4 linked regions of the Drosophila melanogaster genome follow. The protein of the gene in region 3 interacts with the protein of the main gene of each other region in a pairwise test. Each region holds a gene or a part of one and is shown on either strand. Other genes may lie near its edges. The genes, in order: CG15109, Lmpt, Atox1 and CG15576.

The links.
Region 1: the proteins of Atox1 (region 3) and CG15109 interact in a two-hybrid assay, tested with the Drosophila melanogaster proteins (one large-scale study listed by BioGRID).
Region 2: the proteins of Atox1 (region 3) and Lmpt interact in a two-hybrid assay, tested with the Drosophila melanogaster proteins (one large-scale study listed by BioGRID).
Region 4: the proteins of Atox1 (region 3) and CG15576 interact in a two-hybrid assay, tested with the Drosophila melanogaster proteins (one large-scale study listed by BioGRID).

The regions. Positions count from the first base shown.
Region 1 is NT_033778.4:19,057,487-19,061,573, reverse strand, and holds CG15109 (uncharacterized protein), read right to left. Parts: upstream 2,154-4,087; 5' UTR 2,088-2,153; intron 1,979-2,087; 5' UTR 1,956-1,978; coding exon 1,931-1,955; exon of another isoform or gene 1,840-1,930; coding exon 695-1,839; 3' UTR 509-694; downstream 1-508.
Region 2 is NT_037436.4:16,897,747-16,902,415, reverse strand, and holds the start of Lmpt (limpet), read right to left. Parts: upstream 3,002-4,669; 5' UTR 2,364-3,001; coding exon 348-2,363; intron 288-347; coding exon 225-287; intron 39-224; coding exon 1-38.
Region 3 is NT_037436.4:21,639,217-21,643,129, reverse strand, and holds Atox1 (antioxidant 1 copper chaperone), read right to left. Parts: upstream 2,136-3,913; 5' UTR 1,941-2,135; coding exon 1,935-1,940; intron 1,844-1,934; coding exon 1,768-1,843; intron 1,157-1,767; coding exon 1,023-1,156; coding exon of another isoform or gene 969-1,022; 3' UTR 531-968; downstream 1-530. Other genes in the region: CG32445 (uncharacterized protein), read right to left, coding at 2,551-3,654.
Region 4 is NC_004354.4:4,251,325-4,254,369, reverse strand, and holds CG15576 (uncharacterized protein), read left to right. Parts: upstream 1-1,579; 5' UTR 1,580-1,731; coding exon 1,732-2,103; 3' UTR 2,104-2,500; downstream 2,501-3,045.

The sequences.
Region 1 (4,087 bases), on a different chromosome or scaffold from region 3:
CATACTATGGCACACACTTACACGCCCAGTGAACGTCAAGTGGCAATTTACATTAGTTTTATTGTATACGAAATTAGCAGCATTTAGCAGTGGCAGCCGGCAAAACTTTTGCCTTTCGGCTCCGTTCGCTATGTCCCACCCCTACACCCATACACACACACACATGTATTGCTATAAATGGAGGATATATTCTCATCCGCAGTCAAGGGTTTGTATGTTAGATTTGTTTGCTCGTTTGGCTGCACTGTCGCACTCGGCATATCAATTTTCCCGCTCATCCACCTCTCCCCTCAGGACATTTCAAGGTAGGAAATCGATTTTGTTAATGAAAACGAAGGAGAACTTCAAGGAGAAGGCCACCCAGGGGATCGGGTGTCGATTGGAGCGTAAGTTTGATATTTGTTACGGGCGGAACAATGGCCATTCTGCTCGATGATGGCATTCCCGAAGGATTATATTGCAACTTTCGAGCTTGATTTTTTATATTCTTCCGCTGAACATAGTTATTATGATGTGTATTTAGTTTTTATTGTCTGTTTTTTGTATACAAAGTAAAAATGGTCTCGCCACTCCTTACATATGCAAGAAATATAAACATCTTCCAGTTGAAGCAACAAAAAATAAAAAAAAGAATGCGGAAAAACAAGTAACCTAAAATTTTTAAGAAACATTGTGACAGCTGCCCGTTTCAGGTTCACACTAGATGGCACTCGTTCACCAAAACGACATCATCTTCGACCACGTCGCCATTACGATTGGCATGGTGCTCATGGTGAATGGGACAGCTGACGATGAGCTCCTCCTTGGGTTCCATCTTCTGTGCCTCCTTCTTGGCCTTCTTCGTTAGTGCCTTATCCTTGATGCCCTTCTTTTTTTCCATCTCCAGCTCCAATTCTAGGTGATCGCCCAGCAGGTGATCGATGACATCGGGATTGTTGCGCAAAGCCAGATCCATGGCGCCATCAAGGAATTGATAGAGGGGTGAACTAACGTGACGCTGTGGCTCCTTTGGTGGTTCCAGCAAGAGATTTCCCTCGAAATTGGGCTGCAACAGCTGTTGCAGCATGTAGAGCATCGGTGGCACAGCCGGCGAGGATTTATGCTTGCGATGGTGCTTCAGTGGTGCTGCATTATGAAGTCCGCGTGGAGTGTTCTCGGCTGCATTCAGCAGTAGCACTCCGGCCAATTCCGGTGGCAGAACTTCCGGACCGTAGTTCAGCTCCTGCTGCACACTCTCAATCATCATGTTGGGCGCCAGCAGCTCGAACTCCTTTATCTCGTGCTTGCCATCTGGCGAAACCAGCTTGTTGTAGTACACGTAGGGATTGGAATTGGGATTGGGATTGGGATTAAGATTGGGATTAGGGTTGGGTGGCAATGAGGTGGCCATAGCAGCAGCTTCCACCGCTGGGCGACGCTTGTGGTGCAATTGTCGTGGCTGCAGACTGTCGTCCATCAGGCTACCCAAACGCCTCTTGGGACGGCGCAGTCCCAGCAGATCCTCCACTAGCTGAAATTTTCCGGCATCCGGAGGCGAGGATGTGGATGCCACAGCAGCAAGTGATGATGATAATGCGGTGGTGGTTGTGGAGCTAGTGGTTTTTCCACGAACTCCCATACTGCGCACCGGTCCAGCAGTAATCTTCTGCTCCGGAGATGTGGCGGCTTCAGTCATGTTAGCGGTGGTAATGGTACTATTGGCCAACACGGTGGCTTTTCCGCTCAGTGAAGCAGTATTGTCCATTGTAGTGGTTTCATTATAATCACTTGCAGTATCGCCTTGAGAACGCTTCATGCGCAGACAATCGCCGTACATCGGCCGCATCAACATGAGGACACCTTAAGCAAAACAATGGATGCGTTTGAAATACACGCAATTAATTATAAATAATTGCATGCTAGATGGTACTGAAAACTAACGTATACTTACACCCAAGGATCAGCAAGTAGTTCATCTTGTATTGCATGATAGGCAGCGCTGTGGAAGACAGTTGAGTTGAAAAAGTGAAAAGTGACCACAAATATTCTCAGAGTTGAATATTTATTGTAGATTTTTTTCCACCAGAATAGTTACAATTTGAACTTACTTTATTTGATTGGAGTGGGTTCTAGGTGTGCTCGGCACAAAGTTTGTACTGAAAATAATTCGAAATGCTTCCTGCCTCATGGCGAGGCTTTGACAGACAGCTGGGGACCTGGTAAAAGGTTACTGAGAGTACGAAAAAAAAAATCGAATTTCAATATTTTTCTGATGGGGATTTTCCACACACACTCACTTCCATTTGTGGCGACCTTTTCAAGTGCTGCAAATGGCAGCAATGGTACAAAAACAAAAAAAAAAGTAACAAAACACAACCGCGCACACCAAAAAAGTTTGTTTCGTGGGCCGCAAACAAAAGCAAACAGTGGAAAAAGTTTAGCTTATAAATTTCCAATCAATTTTTCGTGCAAAAATCAAGCGACCTCACACTCACACACAGGCACAAGCTCAAGTGTTCATACACGTAGTGTGTGCCTGCGTGTGAGTAGCTATTACTTGATTAATAAATATTAGCAGCAAAAATTGGAAAATTCTCAGCGAAGCGTAAAAGTGCAAACACCCAAACGGAAATGCGATACATTTGCGAAATGGCAGGAGCATTTTCCAAAACATCGATGCTTCTCTACGCACACAAGCACGCACACAGCACTACTCACCTACTCCATGTAACTTTTGATATAAAAGGTATATAAGAATTATCGAAGATATGAAATATAGGTTATGAATCTGCATGGATTGACTTATTGACTTAAACTATAATTTCCCATTTGTTCAAAATGTAACAACTATATCTTCTTTTGTGTTATATATCAAATGAATTTTGGTTACTTTCAAAAGGGTATTTCTTTCTCGATTCCCGTTTTTTTAGCCTAAAACTTGAACTTGTTTCTGCCGCCTTCGTCTTTAGGCATTAATAATGTAAAGTGCGTGCGTCAAATGTGAATTCCTTGCTGCCAACGCACGCGATTTCATAAACTGGCGACATTTTCAACAAACAATTCTCATCGCCGTCTTCGATGTGCTTGTGTGTGTGTGTGTGTGTGCGCCCTTCGAGGCGACTTGGCGCTCAGGTGGATTTTGGGGTGCAGGAGGCGGTAAACCAAGGGACCCCGAGGAGCAGGCACTTTTCCTTATCAGCTTAAATGTAAATGCCAAACGAGTGCACTGAAGGCGGGGAGGGGGGTCGAAAGGGGGCGTGGCTGAGCAGCAGCTGTTGCTGCATTGGGGATTTGCACATTTATACTCGCATATTGTAGCCCCACTCCTCGAAAACCCCGTTTTTCCGGTCCATCCTGCTGTCTCGTTTTCATCTTCTCGTTTTTTATCTGCCAAAGTTGATTTTTCGAGTGTATTGAATAAAAGTCGATTTTCCCCTTCTGGATTTGTGCGCGTTCGACAAGCGGCTTAAATGCGTACAGTTAATACATATCCTTTTTGCATATGTCTGCGTGTCTGGGGCTTATAAGCCAGTGTGTAAGTGGGTGTGCGTGCTCTTGCTTTGATGTGTGAGTCCGTTAAGGTCGTGGCTTATTAGGGGTCCGAAACCTTTGCCGCAGTGCATCAACGCGGCGGGATTTGCACGCAGACACTGCAAAAAGGCTCCCAAGACGATCCACTATAATTGGTAGCGAAAATCACGCATCCGCCGTGTGGGTCAAGTGGTGCTAGGGGAACTGGTCTAGCAATTGCTTTGATCTCGGGCGGAAAATCGGTGAGTGCGACTTTTATTAAATGTTTCCCTTTCGATTTGTTTCGGCGGAAAAGACTCCGGCTTTGTAAACTTTCATTAGTTGCCTCGTTAATATTCCAATTGTTGACACACAAAGGCGAAAGGTGGTGGAGGGGATGGCTGGCTTAACCTGTGTATAAAGGAATTTAATTAATAACGTCCTTCGTCCTTTTGCGTGTGCAGCGCGGCGTAAACTTAATTAAATGCGCAAGTGGCAAGTAGCAAGTAGCTGGGGCCACAGTGGCAAATGACAAGTGGAGATGCAGGACCAGCAGACGCAACTGGAGAAGCTCAGGTGCAAAGGTTGAAGGTAACAC
Region 2 (4,669 bases), 4.7 Mb from region 3:
CCCCTTGATTGCTCCTCTGCTGCGATAGAGGTTTGCAGCTTTTTGGGGGAAAGGTGAAGCGGAAAAGCAAGCGGAATGTGGGAGCAGTAGCAATATGAAAAGCAAAGAGGTAAAGCAGTTAGGACAGTTAGTTATGCGGCAGTGGTGTCTGCGATTGGTGGATTAGGTTGTGGTCGAAATTATTGGGTGAGAAATGATGCCAGGTGTCTGTGCTACGCACTTACATTGGATTTGTTGCTGTCGCTGGTATCCACTGCTTGCGGGTTGTCCTTCTCCGCTTCTTTGTCCTAACACACACATAATAAATCATTGATATAGATCCTCGGCTTGTAGATTCATTTACTCACCAACTGCTCCTTGGAAAGTTGTTGTTTTAGGGCAGCCACTGCCTGTTCGTTTTGTGCCTCAGTGGCCTCTTCAAAGGAGGACGATTTTGGCTCATTTGTAGCTTCTTCCTCCACATCCTCTCCCCTGGATGGTCTTTCTAGTTCGATTTCCTCCTCGTCTATGGAGAGCGCTTTTTCCCGCTTCCAAAACTCGGTATCCTTATAATGCTCCGGCACAACCTCACCCCAGGGATTTGTGCTCTCCTCACCGAGCATCTCTAAGGATGTGGTCGACTCTGCCGTTGGTCTAACATCCTTTGCTGGACTCCTTTTGTGACGTCGGTGGGATTTAACCCTCAGGGTAGGTTCGCTCGTATACTTGATGGGGTTATAGTCCTCTCGGTCGCCGTGGCGCAACTCCTCCTCCTCTAGCGAGGTGAACATCTTTAGTTCTTCGTCGCGGGAGGCTCGCGATTCCCGCGAGGAGTTCGAGCTTCCACTGGATCGTCGCTTCTTAAAAGCCCTTCTTCTCCCTGAACCATCCTCTCGCATCAAAGGACGATTCTTAATGCCATCTAGAGAACGAAGGTAGTCCTCGGTGTACTGGACTTCCTGTATCTGATCTTCTCCTTCAGGTTCTGGGCGTTCACTTTCGATTCTGTTGCCCTCATCAGAGGGCTGCGTGCTGAAGGACGACTGCTGGATGGAGAACGGAGTTTTGGGTTCAAGAGAGGATCCTTCATCCGATACGCCAGGGAAGGTGAGTGTTTTTGACTTTGCTGAGTAGGCGTCTTCAGGACCACTTCCTTGACCAAATTGAGTTTTCACTTTATGCACCATGGGTTCTTCTGGAGGCTCCTGAAACCTGGGTGGAGCCACTTTCTTCACACACAGCTCCTCCACCACGGGTTCCATGCCAGCATACTCGTCTGCCTCCTCTTTGCTGTGTGAGGCTTGAAGTTGGCGCTGTTGTAACATTACCATCTCCTCTTCTGCCTCAAGAAAGCGTCTGGCGTTTTCCTCAATCATTCGCTGTTTTTGCTCCAGATCAGTTCTGCTGGAGATCAGGCGACGCGACTGCTCTGCGATGGCAGCATCCTCCTCCAGTTCGCTCTCTGTAGCGCTTGGACTGAGCTCTCTTTCTGCTGCCAGAAGACGCTCTACGATCTCCGCATCCCTCAGTGCTTGCCCTTCTTCGTCAGCTTGATCGCGCTCTCGCTGAATCTCGGCATCAAAGAGACGACGCTCGGCTTGCGCTGCCTCGGCTTCAGCCAGGATCCTTTGTTGTTCGGCTCGCTCCTTTTCGGCTTCGGCCTGCTCTCTCTGACGCTCTGCCACGACGATTCTTCTTTCGCTTTCTTCTCGCTCGCGCTGCTCTTCAGCTTCTTGCAGTCTTCGCTCATTCTCCTCCCTTTCCCGTTCGGCATCTATCAGCCTTCTTTCGTTTTCTAGGCGTTCTTTCTCCTCGTTTTCGCGCTGTTTACGCTGATTTTCTTCTGCTTCTAGCTGTCTGCGTTCGGCTTCTCTTTGTTCCTGCAGTTCTTTCTCCGCCTGCTCTCTTTCGCGCTGTCTTTCCGCCTCTACGAGCTTTCTCTGCTGCTCCTCCGATTCCTCTTTCTCCCTCTGGACTCGTAGTCTTTCTTCTACCAGCTTGGCCTCGGCTTCGGCCAGCTGACGCCTCGTATCGGCTTCAATTTGCTGTTGACGTGCCAGTTCGGCTGCCAAAGCTTGTCTTTTATCTCCAGCAGGATCTACTCGTATTCCATTGACATATAGGACACCATCCTGCATGACATTGGTTCCTGCCAGGGCTTCCCTTTCCGCCGCCTCCTTGATCTGCTTATCCAATCGCTCTCGCATGCGAGGCAATTCTTCTGCGTCAGCTGCTGCATCTACAGAAGAATCGCCGGGATGTTGGAAAGTCCAGTGGTATAGATGGCGCGCCACAAAGGCGAATTCCAGGGCACCTAGGTATCCAATTAGCAGCGAGAATAGTAGCTCGCCGACGCCGGTTAGCGCCGTCTCCTCAGCGGCCATTGCGTAATGACCAGAATCGAAACGGAATCCGAATCCTCCAACGTTCGCCGATGCAATGAGAGTATGTGTCGACGAGAACCGAATCGGCTAACACGTATTATATAAAATATATTCACCACGCACTCGAAAATTCACACCACTCACGTTAATGGCCAGCCGATTAGGTAATTCGAAAAATATTTATTTCACTTTCGCTCACAAATCATTGAACCAATCATCGATATATATTCATTTATCTACGTTTTGAGACGATTTATGAGAGCGCGAAGCAAGAAGAATCGGAGATGGGCGGACTCGCCAGGCGGATGCAGTTGCTCGGGCGGCGAGCTCTTGTTTTCCGCTAATCGATCGTCTTGCAACTGATTAATGCCCCAGCCAATGCCCATGGGTCCCCCGATTTCTAGAGAACAAGTGAATCAGCGGCGAGAGAACCGCCAAGAACCGAATCCGTTCAAATGGCAAACGGCGCTAATTGACGGCCAGCGATGAGAGCAAAAGGCCTGTAGAGCTGACAAGACATCGCCGACTTTTGTCGCTGGCAATTTGGCAACACAAATGTATCTGCTTCTGTCCGCTGCCGTTGTTGCACTGCCTTGCCTCCGTGTCAAATGCCAAAGCAATCGGAATTGGCCAAAGCCGATTTTCTAATCAGTTTAGTCGACACCCCGCCGGCCGCGCCCCCTTTTCGTTTGGGGGGAACTATTTTTGGTCTATGCTTCGATTGCTGTTTTCCACAAAACACTTTTCGCCACTTTCTGCTTTGCTCGCCGTTTTCGTGCGGGAGAACAGTTAGCGACATGACCATAAATCGGATAGGGAAAATCAAATGCAACTGTCATTTCGATAACATAATGAAGAGTTTTTTAATCTCAAGCAAGTATCAAGATTTAGGGATCTTTTCTTTCCTATCCTTTTATTCAGGTTTAAAAATTCAATTTATCAAAATTAATCAGAAAATGTTTCTTTTGATATTTTAAAATAATAAAAAATCAAGTATTTTCTGAAAAACATGATCTTTCTATACTGCATACCACACATATTATTCAGACGCACAGTTGGCTGCAATAATATACAGAGCTAAGGTGCCAATTTCCATAAAAATGCTTAATTTGGCATTAATGGTCACATCGTATCTCCGATTTTAGAAAAAATAACATTTAAGAGTACAATGTTGAGATACAATTTTGTTTATAAAATGCCCAATTCTTTTGTTTATTTTGCCAATAAAATTTGGTATTCTCGAAAGTGGGAAAAATATATTTTAGCATTCGTAATTCTTATGGGCATGACTTTTACTGTTCCTGGTGTTTGCAAATCAGTTTTCTTTGGCATTGCCAGCGCCTGGGGCCAGGGTCGCCACGCCCCATTTCGCCGCCTCCGAGCGGATTGCACACAAATGTTTGCCATAAATTTCGTCTTGGCACTGACACTAACATTGCCAGCAGCTTTCAGAGGCTCTTTATCGCCGATTTCGCTGTGGTTCTCTTCTGCGTTTTCAGAATCAGTATAATTATTGTCAAACGCGGCATAATTGTGTTCTTTGCCCCACAAAGCCAAACTATTTTTGTATTCTTTTGTTTATTCTCATCATCTGATTGTCATTAGAAATTGTGGCAAAAATAGATAGATTTATATGAATAAATGGGTCATCTGGGCTCTGATATATTCATATGTTTATTTTGCTTTTCGCAACGAAAGCGAAAGTGTTTCTGATGGTAATTTAAATTTATTTTGAATAAATTTAAACATGGTTTTTTGTACAATAACACCGAAAGGCGACAGACAATGCAATTTCTTTATCCAACATTTTCTAATTAAAAATCGATCAACACGCATATAAAAAAAATTTATTTACTTGCATATTACACCCCCAATCTATTTAAAATCAAAATAAATGGATAAAGGATATTTTCAATCGAGCTAAAGCAGTTTGTGCACATCAATAACAAATTGCGAATACCTGCAGCAATTTTTAGCAATCTCTAACCTTAACCGAATGCCACAAATTTCCGGCTCACTCGCAATGAACTTCCGCTCGACGGATGACAACGCGTCAACAGCCAGTGCTGCCAATGAACTGCCTTCATTTCTTTGTTGCCATCGCCACTCGCGAGTCGCTGCATTTGCGGAGCTGGAGGATAGATATCCCCGGGATCCCCGACTCCCACAGGCAGCCAAGTGAAGTTCAATGAAAATGCCATAACCTTTGGAAAGGGCGATTGCCGCACCTATGCAATAAACGTGAACTGCGTGCGGCGGGCGATAAAAACCAGAGCCCGTGACAGCGAGCACTCACTCACACGGAC
Region 3 (3,913 bases):
GCTCGCAACTCGAAACGCAACTGAGCCGCAGTCCCAGGTAGCCGGAACGAGATGAGACTTCGAACGTCCAGCTTTGAGCTCAATTAGTGCAGTCGCCTGGGCTCTTTGTGTGCTGTTGCATTCTTTGAATGCCGAGGTGGCATTTGATTGATAATTTCGTTACGCCTCGAACATGGCCCACAAAAAACCAAGGAAAGCAAGACACACGCGGAACTTGGAAAACCGAAAATAAAAATATATTGAATTTTATAAGTGTGGGTTCCAGAGAGCCGAGATTTATGACAAGTTCATGCTGCCCCTCCGATCGTTATAAGGCAATAATCAGCTCTTTGTCGCCGATTCGCTGGAACGCCAAACACCACAAGATGCTTAGTGCCCGCATCTGATTTTCGGATTAGGAACGACAATAAGACAATTTGGAAATGAAAACCATTTCCCTAACGGGATTTACTACATGATGCTCCAAAGTCGACCTGAAAATTGTAAAAGTAGCCAACACATTCCCAAAAAAAATAAGGATGCCAGCATTTAAGGTTAAAATGTATTTGTATATATTTGATATTTAAAATGGTAAAATTTGTAATATTACGATTAGTCATAAGAGGGCAACTGGCGTATATCATTTATTGGCAACTACGTTGGATTTACTTGAGTACCCCTAAATACGGCACCTGCATACTTAGGCAAAAAGTTGGCTGTACGATTTGATTAGTTAAATTTGAATTTAAAATTCTTCATCTAAGCATAAGTAATGCATAATATAATAACACCTCAATTGGTTAACTACGAGCTACATACAATTTGGGCAAGAGCAAATACTAAGGTAAAATTTGTATATGATTCCTATATTTGATTTGGTTAAGAGTAAAATTTGTATGTATCCCATGAATATCACTGAACAGCGACCCAAATCGAATGCTTTCGGAGCGGCAACGTGGAAGATATTTCAATCCTCTGGGGTCCACACCCTATACCTCAAGTTTCAGCCTGCCGTACTTCTGAAACTTGCTGAGGAACTCGTCTCATTTCTTCACCCCGACGTAGGTGGTGCTCTTGCCGGTCTTGCGCAGCTGCTCCATCAACTCGTCGGACGACAGGTTCGACGTCACGCTCACCGTCCGATCCTCCAGGTTAATGTTGACTTTCTCGACCTTATCTGCGGAAAGGCAAAACACATGGTTTAGTCGACGAGCGCCGAAAGTAAGGCAAATCGCTACTGATAAGGGCTAGGCTAAGTTGTTCCCACCACTTGAACGAACAATGCAAATTGTGGTTAAGCCCCTTATCATTATATGATTTTTTATGTTTAAGGCTTGTTCTGTGATCTTCAAACAAATTAACTGAACTTGTTGTTAAGTTTAATCAAGTTTTTTAGGTACCAATAACATTTTTAAAAGAGCACAAATTAATTAGAGCTTGGTTAGAAAGAAAGGGGAAACATGTTTTCGTTAATGAATTACAACTATTACTATTTATGCACATTAACCGACTTTACAGACACTTCAAATAGTTTCGAGGGATTAGATATCCCATTTCAGGGAGCTCATTGTTAATTAGTCACTATCCTATTATCCAGGATGTACTAATTAAAAATGTAACAAGTTGGTGCTTACATACATATATGTATGTATCATGTGTCGGGAATCAATGGCATTAAATAAGTTCACCCATTAGCACACACATAGGTTCATACATACATATACGTAAACGTAAGTTCCGACCGATAAGACACTAACTAACTTAGTACTTGGCACTAGTTCTACGTACCGCCCAGTTTGCCCAGGACTCGCTCCACGGCACTGGCACATCCGCCGCAGGTCATCTCCACCTTGAATTCGTGCACCTGGGGAGAGCGGGAAATGGGTTGGTAGAGAATGGGAATTTTAAAGGCTCTTCCAATCGATTTTAGACTGGACTCAGCCAGCGAAACCCACTGTCATCCTGCTGCTGCTGCTGCTGCTGTGACTTCTGGAGTCCGTCGTCTGCTTGTAGACTTGCGGTAGGTTGAACAGCTTGACGGCTTTCCTCGGCTACTCTCAGTTCCAAACGTGGCACTCAGAAACTCCCTTCGTTTTTTCAGCGAATTTCTTTGGTTTTTTTTATATTGGGCTGTTCAGAGTGACCGAGGGATCTGCCCTTTAAATATATCAAGTCCATACTACGCGTAAATAAAGCAAATGTTTATAGCAGTGTGGTGCAGCACTTTGATAACGGATCTAGCTGAGACCCAAACCAAATGGCGCTACCAGTGCTGCCCAGTTGGCGCCTTTATTCAAGACTCCAGGGACGTAGGTGAGCACCAGCATCAAGTACGACCCCGAATTTCTGTAGAATTATAATTAAGAAGCGAAACATACTCAATTGTTCCCTAATCTCACAGTGTTTTAAAAAGATTGCATTACTTTTAAACGTTCGCCCTCCTTGTAAGTTGCAAATTTATTGTCAAGAAATAGAAAGATAATATAAATGCACTTTAGCCAGTACTAACCCTATTGATTGCACTGCCAATTGAATTTTAGCGGCCTAATTTTGGGAGCATCAACTAAGTTGCTACACTCGCTTGGGACAAGAGCCAAAGCGGTAGACCACCTGGTGATCGTAAAGCTGGCCGGGATTGAGCACGACTGAGGGAAAGTCGCAGTGGTTCATGGCGTCCGGGTACTTCTGCGTCTCCAGGGTGAAGGCTCCCTGGCGGACATAGTTGACCCCATCCTTGCCCGCGATGGGGATGTCCGAGCCGTCCTCGCTCGGCAAATGGTTCGCCGTGCTGAACTGGAGGCCCGGCTGGTTGGTGTGCACCTCCATGAACCGGCCACTGCATGGGTGAACCACTCGGGCGACCAATTGCACCCGGTTTGGAGGAATGTCCACGCAGAAATGGTTGTCGAAGCCGCCCAGCGGACATGTGGACACCTGGTTGAGCCGCTTGCCCAGACTGACCAGGCTGGAGAAGTCGTACGGGGTGGTGCGCACGCGCATCAGCTTCCCGGTGGGCAGGAGCTCCTGGTCCACGTCCACTATCTTCTGGGCCTTGATCATCAGCATGTGCTGATAGAGCGTATCCCGGCCCGCGCCGTGTCCGGCCAAATTGAAGAAGCTGTGGTTCGAGATGTTCACCGCCGTGGTGGCCTTCGTCCGCGCCTCGATCCGCATCCCAAAGCAGCCCGTCTCGTTGAGCGAGAAGTTGATGTTGGTGGTCAGCTCGCCCGGATAGCCCTCGTGCCCATCTGGCGAGATGTGCTGCAGGGTGACACCGTCCTTGTGCACCCCTACCACGTCCCAGATGACGCTGTCGAAGCCCACGAACCCGCCGTTCTGGTGATGCCTATCCCGCAAGTTTCGACTCACACTGACCTCCTTGCCGCAGAGCTTGAAGCGCCCGTGTGCTGTACGATTGGCCACCCGGCCAATGGTGGCTCCAAAGAAGTATTGCTGGTTACGGTAGTAGCCTGCCACGTCGTCGTAGCCCAGGCACACGTCCTCCAGCTTTCCGTTGAAGTCGGGAACCTTCAAGGACTGGATTATGGCACCCATCGTCAGGATCGACACCGACATGCCGCGCTCTGTGACCAGCGTGAAGCGCCGGACACGGTCAGTCTTCTGCGTCATCGGGTTGACGGCGATGCCGAACATGTCTTCGATCACTCGCACCATCTTGGATCTCCTGATTTTTGCCAAATACCTAGAGGAGGATTACTAAAATTTTGTATTGCCTTACTGTGGCGACGGGCTTGAGAATTTCAAAGGGCTCGAACGCTTTATGTTCAGATCAAAGCCCACTGTGATGGGGGTTTCAAAACGTAAGCCGTTACATTTTGTAAATCGTAGTTATGCCTGCTAGTCAAGCTAAAAAATATTCGTAGTTTCGTTTGTTAGTAAGAATAACCGAGTACTCAGAAGAATTTAGAATTTA
Region 4 (3,045 bases), on a different chromosome or scaffold from region 3:
GGAAGGGCGCCCCGAAAACTCGCAAAAGTTTGCTCCAAAGTCCAACATATGTTGCCTGTTCATGCATGCCCTCGTACTCCCCCTCTCTCCACGTCTCCCCTTCCAAATTCCTTGCCCTGCAGTCACTAAGTTAGTCATACAAATGGAGAAAATAGATGACAGAACCATGTTAAAATAATGGTATGAAATAGAGGTTGTAAAATCGCAAAAAAATCGATTCAAACATAGTTAAATCATTGATGAAATCTTATGATATTTAAACATAGACAATTTTCATTAATAACGAAGTCGCTTTTATTTCTTTAAGTGCACGACTTTCATACACATACGGCCATCCAGCACGTGTGCCAGTGTGTGTGTGCCAGTGTGTAATTATAACAAGTTTTCTAGGCAATTTTTCTGTTTTCCTTCTCGTTTTTCGCCCCAGAATCTCGCTAGTTCCCCCGTTCTTTTATTTTATTTTATTTTTTTGGGAACGCTTCTGTTGGGTATCTGAAGAGCAAGAAGTAAGTTTCTGATAAGAAAGTTATGATGAGTTTTCTTCACTCACACAGCGAGCAGAAGATGGCAGCACATGTACACACAGCTGTTGATTTTGGCCAAATTAGTGCAAACACGTCTTGTTTTGAGTTGTGGCCCATGTGGAACATGTGCAACTAATTTGCAGTTATCAAGAGTTCTGCCTTCGACGGGGTTGAACGGATGAGCTCGTGGTCAGATGTCTGTATCTAATCCATCTGTTGGGGCATTGATTTTGGCATCCCAGATACATGCCACCAAACCCAATCCACCCACCATTGTTAACAAATTTCCATTTCCGGTGGTGGCCACAAAAAGCGAAAGGTGTGCGGATGGGCTTTTTCGGGCGGAGTTGGAGCTCGGAAAACCCCGCTGGCCTGTCTGCCGACTGTCAAAAGTTTATTTATTTGACACCGAAAAAGTTGACACAGACACCAGGCCGGGGGCGTGACTTTGTGCCTGAATCGGATTTATATGCCTGGCCAAAATTGGATTACAATTGAGTTGTAATTATGCGACAACAAAACGTTGCGTTCGAGGGGATGCGGATCCTTTTTGGGGTCCTTTGGAGCTCACCGCCTCTGTGTTCTGTTTTCCATGTTGTCGGCAATTTGAGCCAAGCGCTTGCTCAACGACGTCTTTTGAAATTTCGCATTTTGCATTAATTAAAACTGATTTAATTAAAGCTTGTCGTGTTGCTTTTAAGTACTTCAGGAACCAGGATGAGAGTAACAGGTCCTCGAGCTAGGACATCCACTAGCGCATCCAATCCACCCCATGAAAATGATTGAAGCGAGAGACCAAAGTGTTCTGGACTTGTCTCCTGTCGCCCTCGCCAAAGATTCTTTGTCGTCTTTGAGTAGGTGAAAGTTTAATTAAATATGCATCGAGCGTACACAAGTATGTGTACTTGTGGGCCACATAGATCGCATAGATATTTCACCGGAAGTCCCCCAGTCGGATTATGTCGGAATTAGTTATCCAAATTTTTTGGTTATCTCTTATCTCTTGTACAATATTTCACATAATACCATTCCACAATTCAGCTTTATTTGTCTTGTCACATATTTCAGATGCTCAGGTCTCATTGAGATTTCTATCAATCGGTATTGTGTGCTACCGTGTCAGAAAAATATTAGTTATTCGAAATCCCCAACAGCAGCAGAACGTTTCGATCGAAATTTCAGTAAGAACAGCTTTAAAATATTCAAAATGAATCCATTTAGGCCAAATCCAGGTCAGAGTTTTCGCATTCGCTTGAATATGGATCGCGTGCCGGGCGAAGAAGAGCGCAATATACAGCCATCGACTGATGAACGTCGAATCACCCAAATTCCACCGATTCAATTGCGCATCGATCATCAGCGGGATGTGAATCGTTTCATGATCAATATGCGTGTAATGCTACATCGACGGAGGACGGAATTAAATATGGGAGGCGGCGATAGTATCGGCGTGTGGAACTGGAGGGAGCCTCCGATGCCAAGCGGTTTGATTGGCGAGGGCGATTGTGATGGCGGTGGCTATGGTAATTACGCTGGTGACTATCATCCACCATTGCGGGGACTGCCACCAAACCCCTAGGATCTGTACCTTCTCTTACCACACTTGCCATCACTGTCTTTTGCCTCTCCCCTTCCTGTGCGTGTGTGATGTCCTTTTTTTCATTTCTGAGCGTCGTCCGCAAAAAAGAAGAAAAATGTCATCATCAGCTAAAAGGCCCGAAACCCCAAACACAATCCACTACCACTTCCATTCTCATTGCCACCTGAACCAGTAACCCTTGGAGAAGAACGGACCCTGTTCGGACGCATGTTGTTCTATTATTATATCCCCGTTGAGTTCTGGGTTGATGATTTTTCCATCTCCCCAAGAAAATTGATGGGCTTTGGAATTGGAGGACATGCCGAGCCCCGGACGCATATAATAATTTCCTGTTCAATGAGCAATTATCGTAATAAAGATACAATTCCGCTACTCTATATTATATTCGGATACGGGGATGACAATGGTGGTCAGTGGGCAACGATGGTGGCCAAGAGGGGAACAAGCGCACTGACGACAACGATGATGATGATGACTGGTCTCTTCCGCACTGATGTGATGGATTGAGCCCCAGCTCAAGTCTGATTCCTGTCTGTCATGTCACTTTTTCCATGGGGTTAATGGGGGCGTGACAAACATACGGGAAAAGCGCACGGAAAGTTGATTGAACTGCACTAGTTAACTATTCCCCGAAATGACTAGCATGCCATTTCAATTCTAGATGAATTTGACCCCAATATAAGCACTTCATTTTACTTACTTCATCCTAAAATGAACTTCTCAATGAAAGCTTCTATTTTAATGCATTTATTCTGAAATTCGTACATACATAGATTGTAGACAAATCAGGATGCCAATTGAAACAGATTTTGCCCTCTCAGCTGTGACATTTGCATAATCAAAGAAAATTTCGAGCGCAGCCATAGGAACTTTAGTGGGTGTTTGACTTTCATTATAGCCTTCTAGCAGCTTTAGGACTTC